Drosophila melanogaster: one gene and its partners. Changing the gene in region 2 together with the main gene of any one other region gives a genetic interaction. Each region holds a gene or a part of one and is shown on either strand. Other genes may lie near its edges.

Region 1 (3,119 bases), on a different chromosome or scaffold from region 2:
CTACAAAGTCCAGGACGTCGCTGAGCTCAAAATTAAGGCGTTCGGCGAAGGTGCGGCAACTTCTTTTGCGCCGTTTGCTTCGGTTGCCACTACTGCTGCTGGTCTGGACGGCCGGAGGATTCTCCAGGGGAGCAAAGGCGTCGATCTTGTTGAGCAGGGCGAGCAGGAACTGATTGTGCAGGTGCAGTTTGTCAGGTGTTAGGATTTTCCGCGACTCCGCATCGAATTCCTCCTTAGTCCAACGGCTCCGAAACCAATTCTTCATGTTGGCCCGGTAACGCTCCCAGTTGTCGCCCAGAGCCACCACTAGCGCCTCCTTGGTGGCCAGAACTCTGTCGGTAAGCATTTTAGTATTGGGAATAACAACTAAACAGGAAAATCCAACTGTTTGCGAATTGCTATATAAACAAATGAATGCAGCTGATTCGAGTGACCGTTCAAAGAACGGCTGAAAATACCAGATACATTTGAGATAAAAACCGTTATTTTTGAAGAACCCTTTAAAAAAATATTGGTTTTAATCTTTAGTGTTCACAGTTTTTATTGTGTACAAGTTAGTTAGTTAAAATATAAACATTAAAGATAGAGCCCACGCCATTCACACAACATAAGATGATAATATTTGCGAAGCTATTTGATCATTAAAAAAGTAATAGAATAGAATAAATATCTTGGTTAATGTTAAAAAATTTAACATAATTTAACATAAATTGTCAATACAATGAGTATTGTATATAAATGCTACGCATAAGAACATACTTAATATTGAAGGTAAACATTACACTGAAAATAACTATGGTTACATAAATATGGTATCGGATTTAGAAGGATAAGGAAAATTCTTTTAGCCTAGAAACACTCATCCTAATTGACGCGATCCCATCGCCACACGGTGCTGTCGTCGCACACGCAAACTAAAATGGAACCGTCTTTGGAGAAGGAAGTCTGTCGGATGGTGGAGTTGCTTTTGGGATGAACCAGCTGGCTACACTTTGTTAAATTGGGATCATTGCAGTCCAATTCCCAGACAAATGTTGTGCCCAGTTGATTGCCCAAGGCCAGAATCTTTTGCCAGGCGTTGAAGGCGAAGCGTACGAACCAGATTTCCGTAGAAATTGGTCAGATAGGGGAGCATAGCGTCCAATACACGTGGGTCCATTGGAGTGGTGGCCTGGGCATCCAGGTAAAGTGGTCTACCCTCGGTCTGTTCGTTCTTTATGTTGAATCGCACCTGTCTCTCCCGGAATTCTACGAACGAATACGATTTTGGTAAGCGGTAACTGTGCATCTTGGAGGATCCGCTTACCTTTGGATGTGGCGGCTGGTTTAGCCGCTGTCCTGGAGGAGGTGGCCTCGTGTCTAACCACATTGGCTAATGCATTCGTCGCCCGGGAGCGGAGGACCTGCGCCTGGATGCGTCCCAGCACTTTTTGCATTCTGATGGAATCCTAGAAATTCTGGTGTTAAAATTCGTTATCACGGATTTCACAATCAGTGGGACCGTATTCGGCGGCACGAGATATACCAAAGGACTCCGGAATTCACTTTAAAATTATCTGATTCGATTATGCAGAAGCAAGTTTCTGAATTTCTTTGAACATATGAAAAATGAATAGCATCTGTGCAAGAAACCAATATTTTTCAGATATATTCGCACTTAATGTATAATTTACAAGGAACTATATTTTCAAAAACCAGTTTTCATCTTAAATATGTTTGCTTACAAAATTATCTTAATCATTCAGCGAACTTAAGTTACGAATTCACGAAATTGCGCGCATAGGCACGGTATATTTTTCTCAGTGAGCCATAAAATACTCAAAGAATACTCAATACGCAAAGTAAGACAATTATAAACAAAAGTACAAAAGTTGAAGCAGTTTTGAAATAATAAATATAGGAAATAGGCAAAAATTAAAATCAAATTTAAATATGGTTGTCTGCCGGTTCTTTCAACAAGGCTCCTGCCGCTATGGCGCAAAGTGCAACAACGAGCATTTCGATGTTAAGTGAGTACATTGATATTAAAACTATGCAGATGAACTAATAACTTAATTATTTTAGGCAATATCTCAAAGCCGACATGGAATCCAGCCTCAATGGCAAGATGTGGCCTTTGTCCGCCTACGGACCCTTTAAGGACAAAGCGAATTTCCCCAACTTTATTCAGGACCAATCCTTCGAGGAGGTGCGGTTCATGTGTTACGAGGCCAAACGACAAAACCAATTCGAACAGTTCAGCCAACAGTTTAACCGTGAGGTCCTAGAGGCTAACAACAAGATGAAGACCATGCTTCAGATGTCGCCGCAGGTCCTGGAAATGATGATCAAGATCCACGAGACGCCGGAGGGCGGCACTGTGTCGGCTGCCCCTCAGCAGTCCAGTAATCCCTTCGCTGCAGCAGCTCCGGCTGCCGCCAATACATCTGCATCCATTTTTGGAAAGCCCACGCTGAGTGCGGGAAATATATTTGGGAATGCCACAAGCCAAGCCAGCAACACCAATAGCATTTTCGGCGGAACGATTAGCAATGCCAATGCAAGGAATAGCATTTTTGGTGTAGGAGCTGCGGCAACAGGTGCACAAAGTGTCTTTGGACAGCCACAGCAGCAACAGCTGCAGCCTGCTGCACAAGCTTTCCAAGGGGGCAACATTTTCGCCCAGGCGCAGGTTCAGGTGCAAGCTCAGCCAGTGAATCCTAATCCTTTCGGTGGTTTCCAACAGCAGCAGCAGCAACCACAGTCGACGGGAATCTTTGGCCAAGCCGCAAGCCAAAATATGGGCGGAATGTTTACTCAGGCTTCTCAGCAACTACAACAGCAGCAGCAGGCAGCTGCCTCCGGATTATTTGCTCAAGCAGCAGCATCTGCATTCCCTAATCAACAACAGATGCAGCAGCAGCAACAGATGCAGCAGCAGCAACAGATGCAACAGCAACAAATGCATCAGCAGCAGCAGATGCAACAGCAACAAATGCAGCAGCAGCAACAACAATTTCAAATGCAACAGCAACAGCAAATGATGCAGCAGCAGCAGCAGCAAGCTCAACCGACCAACGAAATCCAGTCCTCAGTTTACAGTCGCATGGAGGATCTCAACGAGCAGGAAATCGAAGCAT
Region 2 (6,705 bases):
TGTGCCAACTGGTCCGAGAAGCCCTCCATGAAGCCATTGTCCGCACTCACGTCACCAGATGCCCGAAGGGCCTTCAAGTCACTCAGGTCGATCTCCTGGCCGCGGTAAAGATCATTCAGCCACGATTTGGCCGGCAGGAGGAGACTCTCCAGCTGCTCATGCCATATGAATATCTAGATCGTACCGCTTTCGATCCGAATGATCTCCTGTCCACCGGACGCCCAAGATGGTCTTGCCATCTGGTCGAAGGTAAGCCCAAGTCAGGCCTAACTACGGTGGCCGCTCAAATGGCTTTGAAAACAGACTGCCCTTTTATAAAATACATCTCGTCGGCCGAATTGCTGGGACTTAGCGATTCCGAAAAATGCCAGAGAATACGGGAAGTCTTGGAGGACGCCTATGTTTCCAGGCGCAGCTGCGTCATCATTGACGACTTTGAGCGTGTCATTGGTTACGGCGCCCTGGGTAAGCGGTACTCCAAGGAGTTCCTGCAGAAGCTGACGGTTCTTCTGAAGAAACAACCGCCCAACAGCCACGAGCTCATCATCATTTGCACAAGCAATCGTCTCGATGTCCTGGAGGAACTGGGCTTGCTATCCGTTTTCACTTCAGTTCACAATGTGCCAAATGTTTCCACGCCTAAAGAACTTATGGTCATAGTGGAAGCTTCAAAACGATTCGAGCCCGAGGAGCTACGCCAAATCGAGATCGCCATGGATGGCCGCAACGTCTCCATTGGCATCAAACGGTTGCTTGACTTGATTGCGTGGGTGAATTCCCTAAATCCCGACCGTCGAGCTGCCAAATTGCTGAAGAAATTGGGCGAAGCAATGGGATGGGTAGGGAACCATTCTAGTCCACTTGTACCTCAATACATTTAAGACGTTAGGTTAGGAAATGCAATATTGTATCTACAATTCCAGGAAAATAATTCCAAGTGATTCCAAATAATTCAGTAATGCTTTATATTTAAAAGAACCACGTAAGCATAAAAAAACCATCTAAAAAAATAATATTGCATTATTTTTTGGATGAACTTGCTTCCATTGCATTGCAATGTTCTTAAGACTAAAATGAACAGCCCGATAATGTGATTGCAAAGATACTAGATTATTATATTATATATATATTATATATACACCAGGCCAGACCTCTCAGTGGCCTTCGCCTGCTGTACGGAGAGCATTCCGTCCTCCAGGAGTTCGGTGACCGGTGGGCCCAACATCTCCTGGGCTGCTCCAAAGGCGGGCTTGATGTCGTTGTCCAATATATATATATATACATAATTATATATATAATATATATTATATATTATATATATATATTATATTGTTCTAGTGTCTTTGGTGATTGGCATAACAAGTTTTATTACCATATTATATATATATAAGTAAAAATAAAGATATTTGAATTGCAAATGCCACCCATTTTATCGTTATTTACTTAGAGGATTTGGCTTTTGATACAACACATTTTTTGGATTGTTTTCTTCACCAATCCTGGTGCTGCAGAGCTGCTTAGCAACAGCGAAGAAGTCTTGAATGCGGGGGATATATGTATTATTAGAAAATGCAAATGCGCGCCAATGAATTCAAATTTGCACTGCAGGTGCCGTAGCAGGCATCTTTTGCTCGCAATCACAGTGCATACACACACGCAATGCCGAACAGGGTTGCACTCCCTCAACGGGCTATCAGCTGTTTGAGACAATTTCGGGATTATATTATAAAATTGCTACGAAAATGTCAATTGAAAAAGCCCACCGGATGAGAGCGATCAAATGCCCAACGGATGAGCTGTCCCTGACGAACAAGGCGATTGTGAATGTGTCCGATTTCACGGAGGAGGTCAAGTGAGTGTTGGTTTTTGTTGTTTTTCCACTTCCTACGTGGGCGTACGAGCCTATGGAAACTTTCGCTTATGCTAATGACGCACCGCTTGATACCCTGCAGATATGTGGACATCTCGCCGGGCCCGGGGCTGCACTACATCTTCGCGCTGGAGAAGATCAGCGGGCCGGAGCTGCCGCTCGGCCACGTCGGATTCTCGCTGGTCCAGCGCAAGTGGGCCACGCTCTCCATCAACCAGGAAATAGACGTGCGGCCGTACCGATTCGATGCCAGCGCCGATATCATCACACTGGTCTCCTTCGAGACGGACTTCCTGCAGAAGAAGACCACCACGCAGGAGCCCTACGACTCCGACGAGATGGCCAAGGAGTTCCTCATGCAGTTCGCCGGAATGCCGCTGACCGTCGGCCAAACGCTCGTCTTTCAGGTAATGGTGTGGATGTGGCTCCCCCATAAATGTATGCAGTATAGAAAAATAGATAGCAAAGGACTGAAACTAAGGTAGTAATCTGGAGAGGATTAGTGATATATGCCAGAGCCAGTTAAAATACTACCCAATTCAATGAGGGTTCTCGGTTTATCTCGGACGCACCTATTCATTATTTCACCATTTATTGTGTGCACTTATAATAATTTTGGTTTTGTATAACTTTACAAAAAGATTTATACGTTCATAGCATAGCGGTAGTGAGAATATTCGTTATTTGTGTTATTCGATATTCGTTATTTTATATTTACTGACGTGTCTTGATTGTCATGAGATGCTGAATCTCATATTCCACATTTAGACGGTGACCTAATGCAAATATTAACAAGGTAGCTTACCTCCAACAATTAGAAACCCAAAGACACGTAACTCTCCCTTAGATCATCTTTTTGGCTCTCTGCCAAATCTTTTTTAATAATTCAGCATACAATGTCCCCCTTTTTTATGAACTAAAAATAGTGTGTTAGGCTGCCCTCATAGGAAATGCAACTATCTTAACATAGTAATTCTTCTAACATGCTCCTTAATGTACATATATCGTTCGTTTGCTAATAAGGATGTTTACCGCCTTTCAGTTCAAAGACAAGAAATTCCTGGGCCTCGCTGTAAAAACGCTGGAGGCAGTGGATCCCCGAACAGTGGGCGATTCCCTACCGAAGACTCGGAACGTACGATTCGGCCGCATCCTCGGTAACACGGTGGTGCAGTTCGAGAAGGCCGAAAACTCTGTGCTAAATCTGCAGGGTCGCTCCAAGGGTAAGATCGTGCGGCAGTCCATCATAAATCCGGACTGGGACTTTGGCAAGATGGGCATTGGTGGCCTAGACAAAGAGTTCAATGCGATTTTCCGACGCGCCTTCGCCTCTCGTGTTTTTCCGCCGGAACTTGTCGAACAACTGGGCATCAAGCACGTTAAGGGTATTCTGTTGTACGGACCACCAGGCACGGGAAAAACCCTGATGGCCCGGCAAATAGGTACCATGCTGAATGCCCGCGAACCCAAGATCGTGAATGGACCGCAGATCCTGGACAAGTACGTGGGTGAATCAGAAGCCAATATCCGGCGACTGTTTGCCGAGGCCGAGGAGGAGGAAAAGCGCTTGGGACCGAACAGTGGACTGCACATCATCATCTTCGACGAGATCGACGCCATTTGCAAGGCTCGCGGATCCGTGGCCGGTAATAGTGGTGTCCACGACACGGTCGTCAATCAACTGCTAGCCAAGATCGACGGCGTGGAGCAGTTGAACAACATCCTGGTAATAGGAATGACCAACCGGCGGGACATGATCGATGAGGCCCTGCTGCGACCTGGACGCTTGGAAGTGCAAATGGAGATCAGCTTGCCCAACGAGCAGGGTCGCGTCCAGATCCTGAATATCCACACCAAGCGGATGCGTGACTTTAACAAGATAGCTAGCGATGTGGACAACAATGAGATCGCGGCCAAGACAAAGAACTTCAGTGGCGCAGAGTTGGAGGGTCTGGTTAGAGCGGCCCAATCCACGGCCATGAATCGGTTAATAAAGGCGGACTCCAAGGTATATGATGCACAGCATGGCGTGAAAGCAAAGAAAGGGGGTTCTCTTAATTCACATTCGGATCGAAATGTTATTTTATTTATTTGGCGTATTCGCTTATTTCATTTATCTCTCGGTTTGCGTTTCGGGTTTCGTTTAATTTCGAGTAATTTGGTTTCGATAAACCAAGAAAGCGATTAACGTTCGACTGTTCCACTATTCTAAAATTACCATCATCATTTGCTTTTCTACGATCCAAGGTTCACGTGGACCCGGAGGCTATGGAAAAACTGCGTGTTACGCGAGCCGACTTTCTGCACGCATTGGACAACGACATCAAGCCCGCCTTTGGAGCAGCCCAGGAGATGCTGGAAAATCTGCTGGCACGCGGAATTATAAACTGGGGCCCACCGGTCACCGAACTCCTGGAGGACGGAATGCTCTCCGTACAGCAGGCGAAGGCCACTGAGAGCTCTGGCCTGGTGTCTGTTCTCATCGAAGGAGCTCCCAACTCCGGCAAATCAGCGCTGGCCGCTAATCTGGCCCAGTTGAGTGATTTCCCATTCGTTAAGGTCTGCTCCCCGGAAGATATGGTAGGATTTACGGAGTCAGCCAAGTGCCTGCACATCCGCAAGATCTTCGACGACGCCTATCGCTCCACATTGAGCTGCATTGTGGTGGACAATGTGGAGCGATTGCTAGACTACGGTCCAATTGGACCCAGGTACTCTAATCTCACGCTGCAGGCGCTATTGGTTCTACTGAAAAAGCAACCGCCAAAGGGTAGAAAACTGCTGATCCTGTGCACTTCCAGCCGGCGGGACGTTCTCGAGGAGATGGAAATGCTCTCGGCTTTCACGTCCGTCCTGCATGTGTCCAATCTCTCAACTCCCGAGAACGTGCTTGCCGTGCTGGATGATTCTGATTTGTTTAGTCCCGAGGAGCTGCAGAGCATTGCCAGGAAAATGGCGGGTAAGCGATTGTGTATCGGCATCAAGAAGCTGCTGGCTCTCATCGATATGATCCGGCAATCGGAGCCTCACCAGCGGGTTATCAAGTTCCTCAGCAAAATGGAGGAGGAGGGCGGTCTGGAAATGGATAGGGTGCAAGGGCACTAGCTACGCCTTTAAATTAATTTACATTCCATTATCAAACAGCAGAGTGGTTCGATTTGATTGATTCAAACTGGAAAAACGGTTATGTGTTTACAATTAAAAATATATATATATGTATTAAAACAAAAAACCGTTACAAAAATACTTATAACCTTTTGGGAAAAAAGTACAACGTAATATAATATAATAATATATTCCCATATTTCAAAATATCTTACTTGCAGAGTGGGTTTCTATAAAATTCTATACTTTCGTGAAACTTTGAAATTAGTTGCCTTCAAGCCTAATACACAGAACCGGTGACCACTTTTATTGTTTATTAGGAAGTGTATAATTTTATAAACTCATATTCTGCAAATCGAAGAAATCGACCCACCCTAGTGCAATTTTATGATTGTGTTTTTTTTCCCGCTATCAAAAGGGAATCACAATGATAGGTTTCAGCTGCAATATAATATTCTAACGCTATACTTCGCTTAAGTTCCACTAAAAAAAAAAAAATATAATAAAGCGTAACTGAAGACCAACTTGTGAGATAAAGTCAAGTAATTTGTAAGTTTTGAATTTGATGATACCAACGAACTTAAAGTACTCGCATTAGCGACTAAGGATAATCCGTCGGTGTCCACCATGAAAATCTCAGTTTGAGTGCACAGACTTACATAGAGAATTTGATACCAACATGATGTATTTTATAAGGATTTTACGGATATTGCATTTACCATGATAAATAAAAAAGACAAAAATCCGATGATGCAGCCCTAATAGATTGATCTTTTAAATCAAAATTGAATTAAGATGCTTAAGCGTTATACCGATACTTAAGAACTATAATTCTGAAAGTTATTTTACAGAGCGCACAGTTTTGAATACGTGTGATTTTTATTTACATGACTTTTTACCAAAAACGAAAACAAATCATTTTTGTTATATTTTTCTTTACATCCATAAGTGAGATCACTTTGGGTTTGAAAACTAGCTAAAGAAGGTGCATGTCTTAGCTACAATTTCTGAATTTCGATCGAAGCTTTTCGAAAAACACGAAATATATGTGAATCATTTGTAAATGGATATGTCTTTTATGGATAAACTTGATGTGTACCAACGGGATAACAAACTAATTTATGTAATTTACCCAATAGCTAAAAATAAATGGAGTTTTCCCAAAGACTATGGTCTTTTTAATAAGAACGGCTGAAACGATCTTTAGTCAAAAATATATATAATGCAAATTGATTGATTGCCTTTTCTTTTCGTTCCAGGACACATTAGTTCCCTTGGTAGTTTCGGAGTGTAGCAGCTTGAATTCTTTGAAAACTCCTATTTATTTAAATATTGTTTTTTCTCGGCGATCGCCGCCCGACAGCTGTCCGCTTGGAAGGCGTCAAGTGGTTATCATACCATGTACTCACCCGATCCGATCCGATCAGTCCGATCCATCGATCAGCTGTTCGCGACAAGATCCGACGCCGGAACCCAATCAGAGCAGTGGTCAGCTTGGCCGAGGTGCTGACCACAGCCAGTCGGTCGGCGTAATATGCAATTTGAATAAATGATTTATAATGAAAACACCTTAGCGGCGCGTCGTCTGCGTATACGTAATGTGGAGCGGAGTGGAGTGCCACACTGCTCGGTAATTGATATATGGCGCTAATTGCGCTCGACGCCCATTTGTGGTCCAGTCCAGCTTTATCAGCGGCAGTCGTCTGAGGAATCCTGGGTAGCCATAGCCA
Region 3 (4,863 bases), on a different chromosome or scaffold from region 2:
TTCTTTGGCTCGATTTTCCAGCAATATAAATTTGTCTCTGTTCTTTTTGGAAAGCTCTTATTAAATTTGAATCGAAATTCAGAAAGCCCTGGTGGATTTTATGTCCATTGAAACTCAATTAATTTGTACAGTTTCGATTTTTTTGTAGCTTGACTATAGCTTTTATCAAGGCTGCACCTTTTAATGGACATGTTAATTAAATGGTCTCGCTTTAATTAATAATTTTATTGTGCTTAAAACAGAGCTCTCTGTTATTGGTACATATTTACCAATGCCTTTCAGCCTGTTTCTGCCCCATTTCGGGCTGTTTATTCTGCGCACTTATGCCACGTTTGCAATGTGAAGCTAATTTGCATATGCTCAGACATCTGTAATATAATAACATATGTACATACATATGCGGGATTCATTTTGTGGGTAAGCAAGGGAAGTTTTGATTAAAATTGGCCCAAGGCCTGCATATCGCCCACTTTACGAGTATTCGTGGCTTGCACTTCAACTAGACTATGCGCACTTCAGCTTGATTGTTATGGTACTATCTCTAAGATAAAAGGTGGTATACACAAAACTTTATTGCCATCCCAATTATACACTTTAATTCTAGAATTTATAATTTATTCATAAATTCCATACTTTTTAAATTCAAAAGTTCTAAAGCATTGCAAATTAAGTGGGAGATTTTGGGATACAATAACTAAGCAATACAGGGAACTACAAAGGAATCGCAGACACAATAAAAGCTAAACCAATTCATTTGTCTCACGCACACCATCGCAGCGTCTTCACTCATACATAAGCCAAAGAGCCAACTCCCAAATATTAATGCCAAGACAAAAAGGAAGCCAGATGACAGCTGAGCTGTACGAGATGCAAAAGCTAGTTGCTTTTATGAATTGCTATATATACTCAAGGGAGCGGCCGGTGCTCATTGATATTTTTATGGGCCAGGTTTTCTGCTTGAATATATATTCTTTTTATTTGCATTCATTTTGGCTGGGCTTTCTTCATTCAGCTGTTTGTGCCTGGTTACACGCAATGTGTATGTATGTGTGTGTGTGTGTGAGAGAGTCCTTTGGCCTGCGCTGGTGTGAGTGTGGCCATTCCTTTCTCGATGATGATGCCATTGCCTTGGCTGCCTTTGCCGCTCTTTGGATTCTGGTTGTGTTGCCACCACAACGGTTTCTGCGGCGCCTCTAAGCCACATTCCTAGCATGGCTGTGTGCGTGCGTATCTGTGAGTCGGATTCGGCAGTCGGTTTGTTTATTTGCGAAAAAGTTTGCAGCCAGCGCTGGCTAACAACAACAGAGGCAGCTGCTGCCGTTGCCGCCTGGATAGAGCCACTCTCTTCTCGGGTCTCTTTTTTAGTCCCTTGCTAAACAGTAGTATACATGAAGGAAAAATTATTTAGAATAAATATTTAGACAAAAAAGTCATTTATTTGCCACTTAATACATCGTTGTAATATTGTTCATTTATAAGAAGCTTATTGAAATTGAATTAATTCATTGATTTGTAGATCCCAACATAAACTTAAATATCATATCCTGATTTTGTGATTATTGCCAAAAAAAATCAGAGGAAAAGTGGCTTTTGTTTAACCATTTATTTTTATTTTATTTAATTTCTTTGAAATTTTGAGACAATTAAGTTCTACACATACATGTATAAACCATATATTTTTGCCCACTGTGAGTCCTGCGAGAGAGCGGGAGAGAGAATTCTCTCGCTTCCTATTCCTATCTCTCCTCGAGGTCCTGGCTCTCTGTTTCCCTGGGCTTTGTGTGTCGTTGCCTGCCGGCTGGCGCGTCGCTGCTTGTTGAGCTCGAAACTCCAGCTCCTGCAGGATGTGGGGATATCGGGCATTCGGGGTCCGTGGCATCCGCAGTGAGGACGCGTCGCCGGCGCCGTTCAGTGTCAAAGTCAGTTGTGCCTGAGCTTGTGCCAGAGACAGTCAGTTTCGCTGCGAGTCTGCCATCCAGCTGGTTTCCGCTTCCGGTTCCGTGCGAGTTCTTTGGCTAGTAAATTGTGGTTGTGCACCTTTTTCTAATGACTTTTGTAAACACCAAAGTTTTTTGAACAAAAAAAATTACCGAGGCACAACGTATTTTTGTAAACATTTAATGCGAAAAAGGTTTCAGCTCGCGAAAGTCAAAGTGCAAATTGGCCCAGAAACAACAAGTATCGTTTATAAACTAGTTTCCAGTTCGGATGTGTGTGTGTGTACTATAGTGTGTGTGTGTGCAATTGATTAAACAACACAAGGGTAACCTAGGCCAACTGGAAGCGTAGAGACTCCATCAAAAGCCGCGGACTAAATTGCCAAATCCTCGATCCAATAAGATGGGCTGCAACACCAGCCAGGAGCTAAAGACGAAGGATGGCGCAGCCATGGATGCGGTCAGCAACGGCGAACCGGAGCCCAGTGCTCCTCCCTTGGAGGGCGAGTCATCCAAGTCATCCGCTAGCAATCATACGAATCACGCCAAATCCAGTTCAATTATCTCCAACGGCGAGGCGAAGGCGGCCAACGGGGGCGGCGCAGTTGGCGGGGGGAGTGGCAAGTCGGAAGCAACAAATGGCATTGATCGTCCCTGCGACAAGGCGGCAATCACGGAGTTCAATGACGACGAGGACGAAGGTAAGGCCCGTTCAATCTCCGATATCCAATACATTCATATTAACGACTGTTCAACATTCGGTGTGCGTGCGTGTGTGTGGGTGCACTTGGAGAAAATGTTCATCACATCAAAGTGTGGTGATTTTCCTTACTTTCTGAATTAAGAAAAATCTTTACAGCTATAGTAAAAAACCGAAATTGTACAAATATTTAAAGAAGCGAAGAATAGACACTAAATTTTTTTTAGTTTATAGGACTTTTTTTCGGTGTCCTGTGTGTGTGCGGATGAATGAAAATCCTGTGTCCAGGGGTTCGAGTATTATTTACTGTATCAACACGCTGGGAGCACGGCGTTATCGCATTTGCCTTTTTTCTTTGCCACTTTTCCATTTTCCCCCAGTTTTCCGGGCTCCCCGCGGCCCGCTGCTTAATGGTGTCGCAAATATGAATTGTTTAAGTGTATACACATATATGTATATATAAATTTATATATAAAGGGATGTTTGCATTTGGATGTATACACTGCACTCCATTACACGCCACTACATCCGCAAGCGCTTTTATGCGCCCGATGGCAAATTTGTGTTAGGTCCTTAACTTTGTTAAGTAGCCGCCTCGTTGTCCCACAGTCGCCTTGGGCATTTTTTTTCCCCAATGCGCATTAACGTAGGTTATGCTCCTGTTTATGGTATCTAATAAGCGTAGTCAGAAGTCACTTTTATGGCCAGCGATATGGGCCGCAGGATAACACAAATTCCATAGCTTGCTTTTGGGGGCACAATTTAGTTTACGACATATGATTCGCAGTAAAGTGATAATAACGTTTACTTTGCTTGAAAGCAAAAAACCTTTAACGACATATCAAAAATTGTCTACTTTTCTATAATATTTGCTTACAATACAAAAATGTATAATTAATTCTATTTATAAATGTACACGTAAAGTTATGGCCTCATTTGTTATTCTTCTATTGTACGAAATTAAATTTTAGTTGGAAAAATAACTCGAATTATTTAAAACTTCTGCCATAATTCACTGGAAATTTTATATACTTGCCTCCTGAAAATACATACATATCCAATTATTTTCAATTTACTTAGTTATTCATTTAAATTTTCACCACAATAACTTTTTACTCAGCCCAAATTTGGATGCAAAGTTCGGGGCTAATACCATTTGCAAACCCCAAAAAAAGGAGGAACTTTGTGCGGTTTATTTGCTCCTTTTTGATATAATGAAAATATGAAAAACCATCGAGGTGCACAGCGTTTCCAGAGACTGACTCATAAATTACCACAGCCAGCTTTCCCTTGTGGCAGGTGCAGCAGTAGTAGTGGCAGAAACTGTTTGTTTTGCCGCCGTTTTCCGCACGTTTTCCCGCTCCCCTCCCAATTTTCATTTCCCAGTTTCCCAAAGGGAGTGCTGATAAATTGTATAGCGACACTTTATCAATGGCTGACTGCACGGGAAAAGTTAGCCAGAAAATTTCGCTCCCTGTTAATGCCACAAATTATTATTATTGCTTAGCAATTTTCCCGCTGCCAACAGCTTTTAATTTGCTGGTTTATGTGTGCTGCTCACTTGGTTTTCCTCGTAACATTTGCCTTGAAATTAACTCAGCTAATTGGGGCTTCTTGGAATCGCTGAAATATTCTGGATAATCCTTGAAAGTTTGTGCGTAGCAAGAAAATTAAATCAGTTCTTATATTCACGGTAAGGCTATTCAATATTCAATTTCATTTGGGCTGTAGTGGTTCATAAATATTCGCCAGCTGCCTTTTCTTTTTTACTTGCCATAAAGTTCCTTACTATAAAGTTTAGGCCGCTCCTCGAACTTTTTTGATTTTCCTCTGCAGCAGCGTAAAAGAAAAGCGTAATAAAACATACAAATAAACTAACGAAAAGAAGTGAAAACCCAAATCAACCATAAAACTGCCGCTCGGTTACGCCATTTATGCCGCCACCCAAAATATTTTGTTAAACAAACACGTAGGCTGTATTTCAAATTGATTCCGCTTGCGAGTGAAACGAAATTAAAAACGTAAATCCGTAAATGCTTAAGTAGAAACTGGGTAAATTTTCTGCGGTCTGTCAAATAATTAAGATATGGCGATGACGAGGTCAATTTCGTTTTATATTTCACTTCCCTTTTCCCCGTTTGGACACGCCCAAAGCGAAATTACCTGCGAATTGCGAATGGGCCAGGAAGGACATAAATTGGCAATAAAGATGTCAACTCATGCAAA
Region 4 (7,108 bases), on a different chromosome or scaffold from region 2:
AAAGTTTGCCAGGAAGCACAGGGCGCTCTTCATCGAGACCTCAGCCAAATGCGATCAGTTCGTCAGCGATGTGTTCAAAGATGTGGTGGAGAAGGTGAGCTAGCTACCAACCAAATACTTGGCATTCGTGTTTCCAATTATCCACATCCGCTTTGCAGATCGTCTCCTCCGAATACTTCAACAATGGCAATGCCTCCGCCGGTCTGGACATCGCCAGCGATCGGGATCTGGAGGCAAGCGCGTCTACGTGTTACTGTTGATTTCGAATGTTATGCGTGCTTTTGTCAAATTTATATCGTGTATTTATTTAATCGTTTCAATATCACTAGCATAAAGTCAATCAACCTTAACGTTCAATCGTGTACTCCAATCTGAGCAGGGCTATCGATTCACTTAGCTTGCAGGGTTTGCAGATCAGTCAGAATCCTTTTTAAATTCTATCCTTCTAATATTCCTGTACGGCTTATTGTCCATCTGCTTGCATTTCGTCTGCGACCAGTCAAAAGTCAAGTTCAGCATTTTCTTTTCATTATTTTATTGACATGATGATAGTTTTCCATTTGCGTTCACAAACGCAACAAATAAAGTGGAGAATTGGATTAGTGACCAACTGAAATGTACATGGGCTATGCGATTTTTTTTATTTCTATTGCATCTGGTGGTGTAAATTTATAAGTGAGTTCGGTTTATATTTACAATTATCGATGATTAATATTTATTAATTAACGCTAACAAGGTGGATTTAGAAATCAATGAAGCTGTTCTTCACGATTGGCTCGCTCGCTATTCATCAATTTCTTGTAAATCCCTTGCACGCGACGGATGCTTAGAAAACAAAGCTGGACATTTGGCCGCAACAATTCCCGGAGCACGCCCCTTATGTACATTTTTGTAATCGCATAGGTTCCGTAAGAGTAACTTAGAATCTAACTTCACGCTGTTGCTCCTCCATCGATACCTCGGATCCGCACCTGCTCCCGCCCAGTTCCCCAGTGATGCGCACGACGGGCATCTCTCCCATCTCCTTACTACTTCCCCGCAAGGCCGCTCTTCTTGGCGTCCAGTTCGTAAATGAGCAGACGCCACATCTTCACCACAAAGACCTCGGCTTCCTCGTCGAGTACCTGAAGATTTGAAACATTGAAACAGAGCGAGAGGGATAGAGTTTGGATTAGTTCATAGAATGGTAGTGGTTATCGTATCGTATCGTATCGCTTCAAACTACTCACCATTTGCACATCATCCAAGATGCTTTGAGGCGGGCTGCCGGCCAACACTTTGGAACATATAAAGTCCACTAGCGTCGGCTCCGGCTCACCGATATACTCGATGATTTTCTTATTTATCCATGGACGTATTTTGCGTTCCATTAGACCGCTGTCAATCTCGTTGCGGTCTAGCTTATAATTAAATAGCTCCTCCTTTTGCGTGGGTATCCTGTCAATAATGCTTTTTATATGCCGCCGTTTTTCATCATACACCTTTGCACCATTCTCATCCTTTTTGATGTTCGCAGCGGCAGCATCTGCGCTACTGCCAGCAGATGCAGCTGCCTCATTCTTACCATGTTTGCTGTTGCTGTTATGTTTGTTGTTGCTGCTGCTGCTGCTGCCGCCGCCGTTGTTCTTGCCGCCTGATGCGTTCGAACCGGAGCCGGATCCCGAACCCGACCCCGATGAGCCGCCACCGAAAGCCTGGGCGATCTTCTGGCTAACGGCAGCGGCTGCAGCGGTTGCCGCCGACACGGCGGAGCTTTGGCGATCCGCCGAGCTGCTGTTATTGTTGTTGCTGCTGCTGCTGTTGTTCGCAGCTCCGCTGCCGCTGCTGGCTGCATGATTGGATGGCGTGGTGTTGCTTATGTTATCATCGTAGTCTGCGAAGGCAAGGTAACAAACAGCAAGTCATCAGAGGATGCTCTACGATCTAATATAGTTGATCGAAAACTCACCTAGCGGCACAAGTTTGCGCTTCTTGGGATTGATGTTCTCATCGTTGTCGTCGTCGTTGACGAACACGCCTGTGGCCTCTATCTTCTTCTTCTTGAGGTTATTGCCCAGCGTCAGCGAGATAAGGGGCATGGTCATGGGCGGCGTGGCCGATGGCAGTATGGCATCGTGACCCGATTCTTGGTCATTAAGGATCGCGCTCTGCGTGGGAGTATGGATCTGGGCCAGCGAATCGCGCGACTCACTGTTATGCCTGCTCAAGCTATTCGACAGCGACTGGTCGTTGTTGTTGTTCTTGGCATAGACACCACTGGCATTGGAGGCTGTGTCGGCCATGGATGCACGGTCGTCGTTCGATATGGAGTCATCATCATTCGTACCGGCCATGTCTGGGTCGTAGCTGTCCAGCTGCTGGCTCTTCTGTCGCTGCTTCTGCCCCTCGTCGTCTTCGCCCGGCGCCGAGGCGGCCTGCTTGCGCTGGTGGACCGATGATGTCGCCGCTGCCGGAGGCTCTTGGTTCACATTGATCAGGATGCGCGGCTCGTAGAGCTTCTCGATCTCGAGACGCGCCTTTTCGAACTCCAGCGACGGATTCTCGTATTCCCCGCTAAAGAATTTGGACTTGAGTTCGGCCAACTCTTCGGCCTCCTTCTCGCGATCCTTGGAATCGGCATCCGCCTCGCGCACTCGTTCCGCCAGTCGCTGCTGCAGCTCGCGGCCGCGATAATACAGAGAATCGTCGCGCTCATCGTCGTAATCTTCGACGAACTCCTTCAGTCGCTTGGCGTCGGTCTCGCGCTCCTCCTGGCGCAGCAACTCCTTCAGGCGGTACTGTTGGACATAAAGTTAGTAATGGTTGATTGAGAGCATGTGCCGCAAACTGTGTGGTCACTTACCTTCTCGTTCTCCTTAGCCTTGCGCTTCTCGCGAACCTCCCAGTCGGTTAGGCGCGTCTGGTAGGCGATCTCCTTTTCGCGCGCCTTCTTCTCGGCTTTCTTGCGGTCGCGCAGTTCGTCCTCCATTTCCTTTTCACGCCACGTGTCCCGGACTGGCTTCAGCAGCTTCTCCTCGCGCTCCCGTTCACGCTCCCTTTCGCGTTCCCGTTCGCGCATCTCGTTGCGCTCCCGTTCGCGCATTTCGTTGCGTTCCCGCTCGCGCTCACGCTCCCGATCCCTTTCACGTTCGCGCTCCTTGTCGCGAAGCTCGCGCAGCTCACGCTCACGTTCCCGTTCGCGATCCTTGGAGCGGGATTTGGAGCGGCGGCGACGTGTCTCCTTTGAGTCAGAGCGGCGCTCCTTCTGTGTTATCTCGATGGCAGCCGACGACGACTCCTTGCGTCCGGTGGAGGAGGCAGATTCCTTTGACTCCTTAACTGTTTCCTTGATCACAACAGCGACTGATTCCTTGTCTGTCTTATCCGACATGTCAGCCCCATCGGCGGCGGGTGTCGAAGAGGTGGCTGTAGCGCTGGAGGAACTGGCGGCCGCTGTCGATGAGCTGCCAGACTTGCTGGTCGACGACATTCGCTCCATTTCGCGCTGCTTTTTGCGCTCCTTCTCCTTGCTGGCCGCAAGCTTCTCCTTTTCCTTCTCCTTCTCCAGCTCTTTGCGGTGCTCGTCTTCCTCCGCACGCATACGGAATTTGCCTATCTCGCTGCTAATCAAGTTGCGCTTTTCTTCCTCCAGGGTATTTTCGCTTAGCACCTTCATCTTTATGTCTTCCTCGCGGCGTGTCTTCTTATTGCGATTGGCGCTGCCGTACAAATCGGCGCGACTGCTGCTATCGAATCCTTCGAACTCGTGCTTGTGCTCTTCCAGGAATTCGTGCATCTGGGCAATGGCGAACTCGTCCTCGGTCTTTTCGTCCACTGGGTTGGAACGATCGCCGTTCTTGCACTCCTGCTCCTTGTAATCCTCGATGAGAACCTTGTTCTTGGCATCTACCTTGGCTACCAGCTTCTTGCCATCGATTTCCATCTCGCTGAGCAGGCGAACGGCTCGCATTGCCGCAATAGGTCCGCTGAAAGAATGCCAAGGAAAGCGGTTAGGCAGAGTATTTATAGGAACAATTGGAGAGCCAAATGGGTGGACTGCCCGTTGGCTCTAAACATAAATGTATGCAAGCTCAACCCTGTGTTGTATTGCTTAAAGTTAGGTTACTTAAAAGTGCTCGAGTAGTTATTCGATCGCGCATATAGAATTTGAAGAGCTGTCGCAGTAGGGAGCATTCCTAGAAGTATTTCAATCTTTTTATAAATAAGCTAAGCTATTCTAGGAAACGCATCAAACAACGAGTGAGATGCGTTATGCTGCTGTTTATGCAATGGCTCTTCAATTACTTTTCTAGCGTTATTTAACTAACGAAACCTTCTTGTGCTGCCCTAAGCCTTCTAAAGTGATTTTGGGATGACCGATTTATGGTTGAACGTACTCAAATTCGCAGAAGCCGAATGTGGACACCCGTTTCCAATTGATTACCACGCCGCAAGCGTTCAGGATGCGTTTGAGCAGTGCCTCCGGGACGCGTTCGCTGATGTTGCCCACGAAGACGGTAATGATGGGTCCGCGGAACTGTGGTTGCGGCTCCGGCGGACGTTGGTATACTGTCGGCTGTGAACTAATGGTGGCCGAGTTACGGAAGCTCCTCGGCGGCTTGGCCATGTTCTGCATTATCTGAAAGCGGATGGAGTAGGTGGAAAAGGATTTGGCGTCAGATTCTGACAGCTTCATGGTGATTGTGACCCAGAAAAGGTGGACTTACGTGCGGCGGCGGTATGGCTGTATTCATGAAGGGCGGCATGGGCGCCCGCGGCGGGTACGACATCTTGTGCGCTGCGACTCCTTTGCGATGTCCTTTGAAAACACAACTTTAGCGAGCTTGCAAAATTAAAGCCGACAATTCACAAACACACTCACGCACGCACAGACGAGCGACACACACACACACAGGCACGCACGGATGGGCGCAAACGCCACACGGAGTGATAAATATGTGTGTGAATGTCCTGTTTCGTGCTTACGAAGCTGGACGCCCGCAAGGTTCACTGATCGAATCTCGGAAAGGTTGGCCTGTAACTTCTGGGTTCACGGCGCGTGATAAATCCACGCGTAAATTACCGAATAGAATATCTTTTTTCTGCAGCCGTTGCTCTAGAGATGGTAGCTGCTGGCAAGCTGCTATCGGCTGATGGCGTGTAAAAATCGATGGGGGTCGTACAGTTATCGATTGCCATTGCGGGGCATACAATCGATTTACAGCGGTAAGCGACTGAAGGAGTTGCCATCGATGTGCGTGCGCTCACCTCTAGTAACGTAACCGAAAAAGAACCAAATATTACTTGCAATAATACATAACAAAACAATGCGTGTGGGCCAGCTGCTCCGCTTCCGGAGCACCAGCTTGCGCAGCTCCACCGCCAGGCAGGAGTACGTGCCGCATCACAAGCCCGTCGTGGAGGACGACATCAAACGGCTGGAGGACTTTCTCCTGTCCAAACCGAATGTTTTGGTTCTCACGGGCGCTGGCATCTCGACGGAATCGGGTGAGTTTCATGATTTTCCGACTTTTCTATGTTCAGAAGCCATTAACACAAATATTTCAGATTGACTTCCAAAAGCTTGTACATTATTCATTTATTTATATAATGCTAATGCAAGTGACTTCTAGCTTATACTTGGATTCGCATTAGTATTTTATTTAAATCAACATTTCTGGCTGTCTAAAAACTTGAAATAAATTCCAGGGATTCCCGATTACCGTTCCGAAGGCGTGGGCCTCTACGCCCGCTCCAACCACAAGCCCGTCCAGCACATGGAGTTCGTCAAGTCGTCGGCGGTGCGCAAGCGGTACTGGGCCAGGAACTTTGTGGGCTGGCCCAAGTTTTCTGCCACACAGCCCAATGCCACGCATCACGCGCTGGCCAGATTCGAGCGGGAGGAGCGGGTCCAGGCGGTGGTCACCCAGAACGTGGACCGGCTGCACACGAAGGCGGGCAGCCGAAATGTTGTGGAGGTTCATGGCAGTGGCTATGTGGTCAAGTGCCTGTCATGCGAGTACCGGATCGATCGTCACGAGTTCCAGAGCATACTGGCGTCGCTAAATCCGGCCTTCAAAGATGCCCCCGACATGATCCGGCCCGATGGCGATGTAGAGATACCGCTGGAGTACATCGAGAACTTCCGGATACCCGAGTGTACGCAGTGCGGCGGCGACTTGAAGCCGGAAATTGTCTTCTTCGGAGATTCTGTGCCTCGGCCACGAGTGGATCAGATTGCCGGCATGGTGTACAATAGCGATGGCCTGCTTGTCCTCGGGTCCAGTCTCCTGGTCTTCTCCGGCTACCGCGTTGTCCTGCAGACCAAGGACCTCAAGCTACCGGTGGGCATTGTTAATATTGGCGAAACGCGCGCCGATCACCTGGCGGATATCAAGATATCCGCCAAGTGCGGCGATGTCATACCCAAACTGTTCGACTTTCGCAATTCGAAAAGCGTCAGTTAATACTCACAGTTGTTATATGTTGACCCCCACTAAATTTGTAGTTATGGAAAGCCAGGCTTTCTATTTTAGCTAAAAAATAAATGTTAATGATTACTATTTGCAAATGGAATGTAGCGTTGCAACGGAGCTCCTGATTTATGGCTGTGCCTTTGGATCATTTTCGCGCAGGCTCCTCTGGAGCGAAACACAATGACACGCTTTCCGGGAAAAGGATTCGCTCATCCCCCAAGCACATGGGTTCCGAGTCCATGTCCTCTCTGTCTCTCTCAGTGTCCTGTGCTCTGAAATTCCAGCACATCCCAACAGGAAGCGGAAGCAGGAGCGCCGGGGAGAGCTGCGCACTTCCGCTCGCTCCCGTTGAATGTTTTTGTTTTTGCTCCAGGCCGCTGCTCTCAGTGCTCCATATAAATGAACCGCAATTGAGGCATCGGCATCTCCCGCTCGCACACACAAACACACATCGCACACACACATACACGGCCAGTGACACTTTTCACACGCGGTTCATTACCCCCCCTCCTACGACAATCGTCCATTCCTGCTAGAAAAACAATGCGTAGACCTCGCACAATGGGCAAAATCGAAGGACTGCTAAGAATAATAATAATAATAATATAATTATATTAAGTAGTGGTCATGGTTAGCATATTTAAGCAGCATTA

The links.
Region 1: of Nsf2 (region 2) and Qtzl, changing one suppresses a phenotype caused by changing the other (phenotypic suppression), as found in Drosophila melanogaster (one study listed by BioGRID).
Region 3: of Nsf2 (region 2) and igl, changing one suppresses a phenotype caused by changing the other (phenotypic suppression), as found in Drosophila melanogaster (one study listed by BioGRID).
Region 4: of Nsf2 (region 2) and CG4119, changing one suppresses a phenotype caused by changing the other (phenotypic suppression), as found in Drosophila melanogaster (one study listed by BioGRID).

The regions. Positions count from the first base shown.
Region 1 is NT_033779.5:11,994,131-11,997,249, reverse strand, and holds Qtzl (quetzalcoatl), read right to left. Parts: upstream 1,511-3,119; 5' UTR 1,437-1,510; coding exon 1,307-1,436; intron 1,249-1,306; coding exon 1,007-1,248; 3' UTR 527-1,006; downstream 1-526. Other genes in the region: Ada1-1 (transcriptional adaptor 1-1), read right to left, coding at 1-346; CG18789 (uncharacterized protein), read left to right, coding at 1,933-2,009, 2,065-3,119.
Region 2 is NT_033777.3:13,832,950-13,839,654, reverse strand, and holds Nsf2 (N-ethylmaleimide-sensitive factor 2), read left to right. Parts: upstream 1-1,663; 5' UTR 1,664-1,742; coding exon 1,743-1,852; intron 1,853-1,952; coding exon 1,953-2,277; intron 2,278-2,912; coding exon 2,913-3,878; intron 3,879-4,117; coding exon 4,118-4,975; 3' UTR 4,976-6,158; downstream 6,159-6,705. Other genes in the region: CG31495 (uncharacterized protein), read left to right, coding at 1-881. UniProt on the Drosophila melanogaster protein: Required for vesicle-mediated transport. Catalyzes the fusion of transport vesicles within the Golgi cisternae. Is also required for transport from the endoplasmic reticulum to the Golgi stack.
Region 3 is NT_033778.4:15,153,578-15,158,440, forward strand, and holds the start of igl (igloo), read left to right. Parts: upstream 1-1,859; 5' UTR 1,860-2,340; coding exon 2,341-2,638; intron 2,639-4,863.
Region 4 is NC_004354.4:5,664,067-5,671,174, reverse strand, and holds CG4119 (uncharacterized protein), read right to left. Parts: upstream 5,124-7,108; 5' UTR 4,770-5,123; coding exon 4,707-4,769; intron 4,619-4,706; coding exon 4,377-4,618; intron 3,966-4,376; coding exon 2,843-3,965; intron 2,778-2,842; coding exon 1,949-2,777; intron 1,874-1,948; coding exon 1,230-1,873; intron 1,125-1,229; coding exon 1,029-1,124; 3' UTR 523-1,028; downstream 1-522. Other genes in the region: Rab18, read left to right, coding at 1-94, 159-260; Sirt4 (sirtuin 4), read left to right, coding at 5,307-5,487, 5,689-6,446.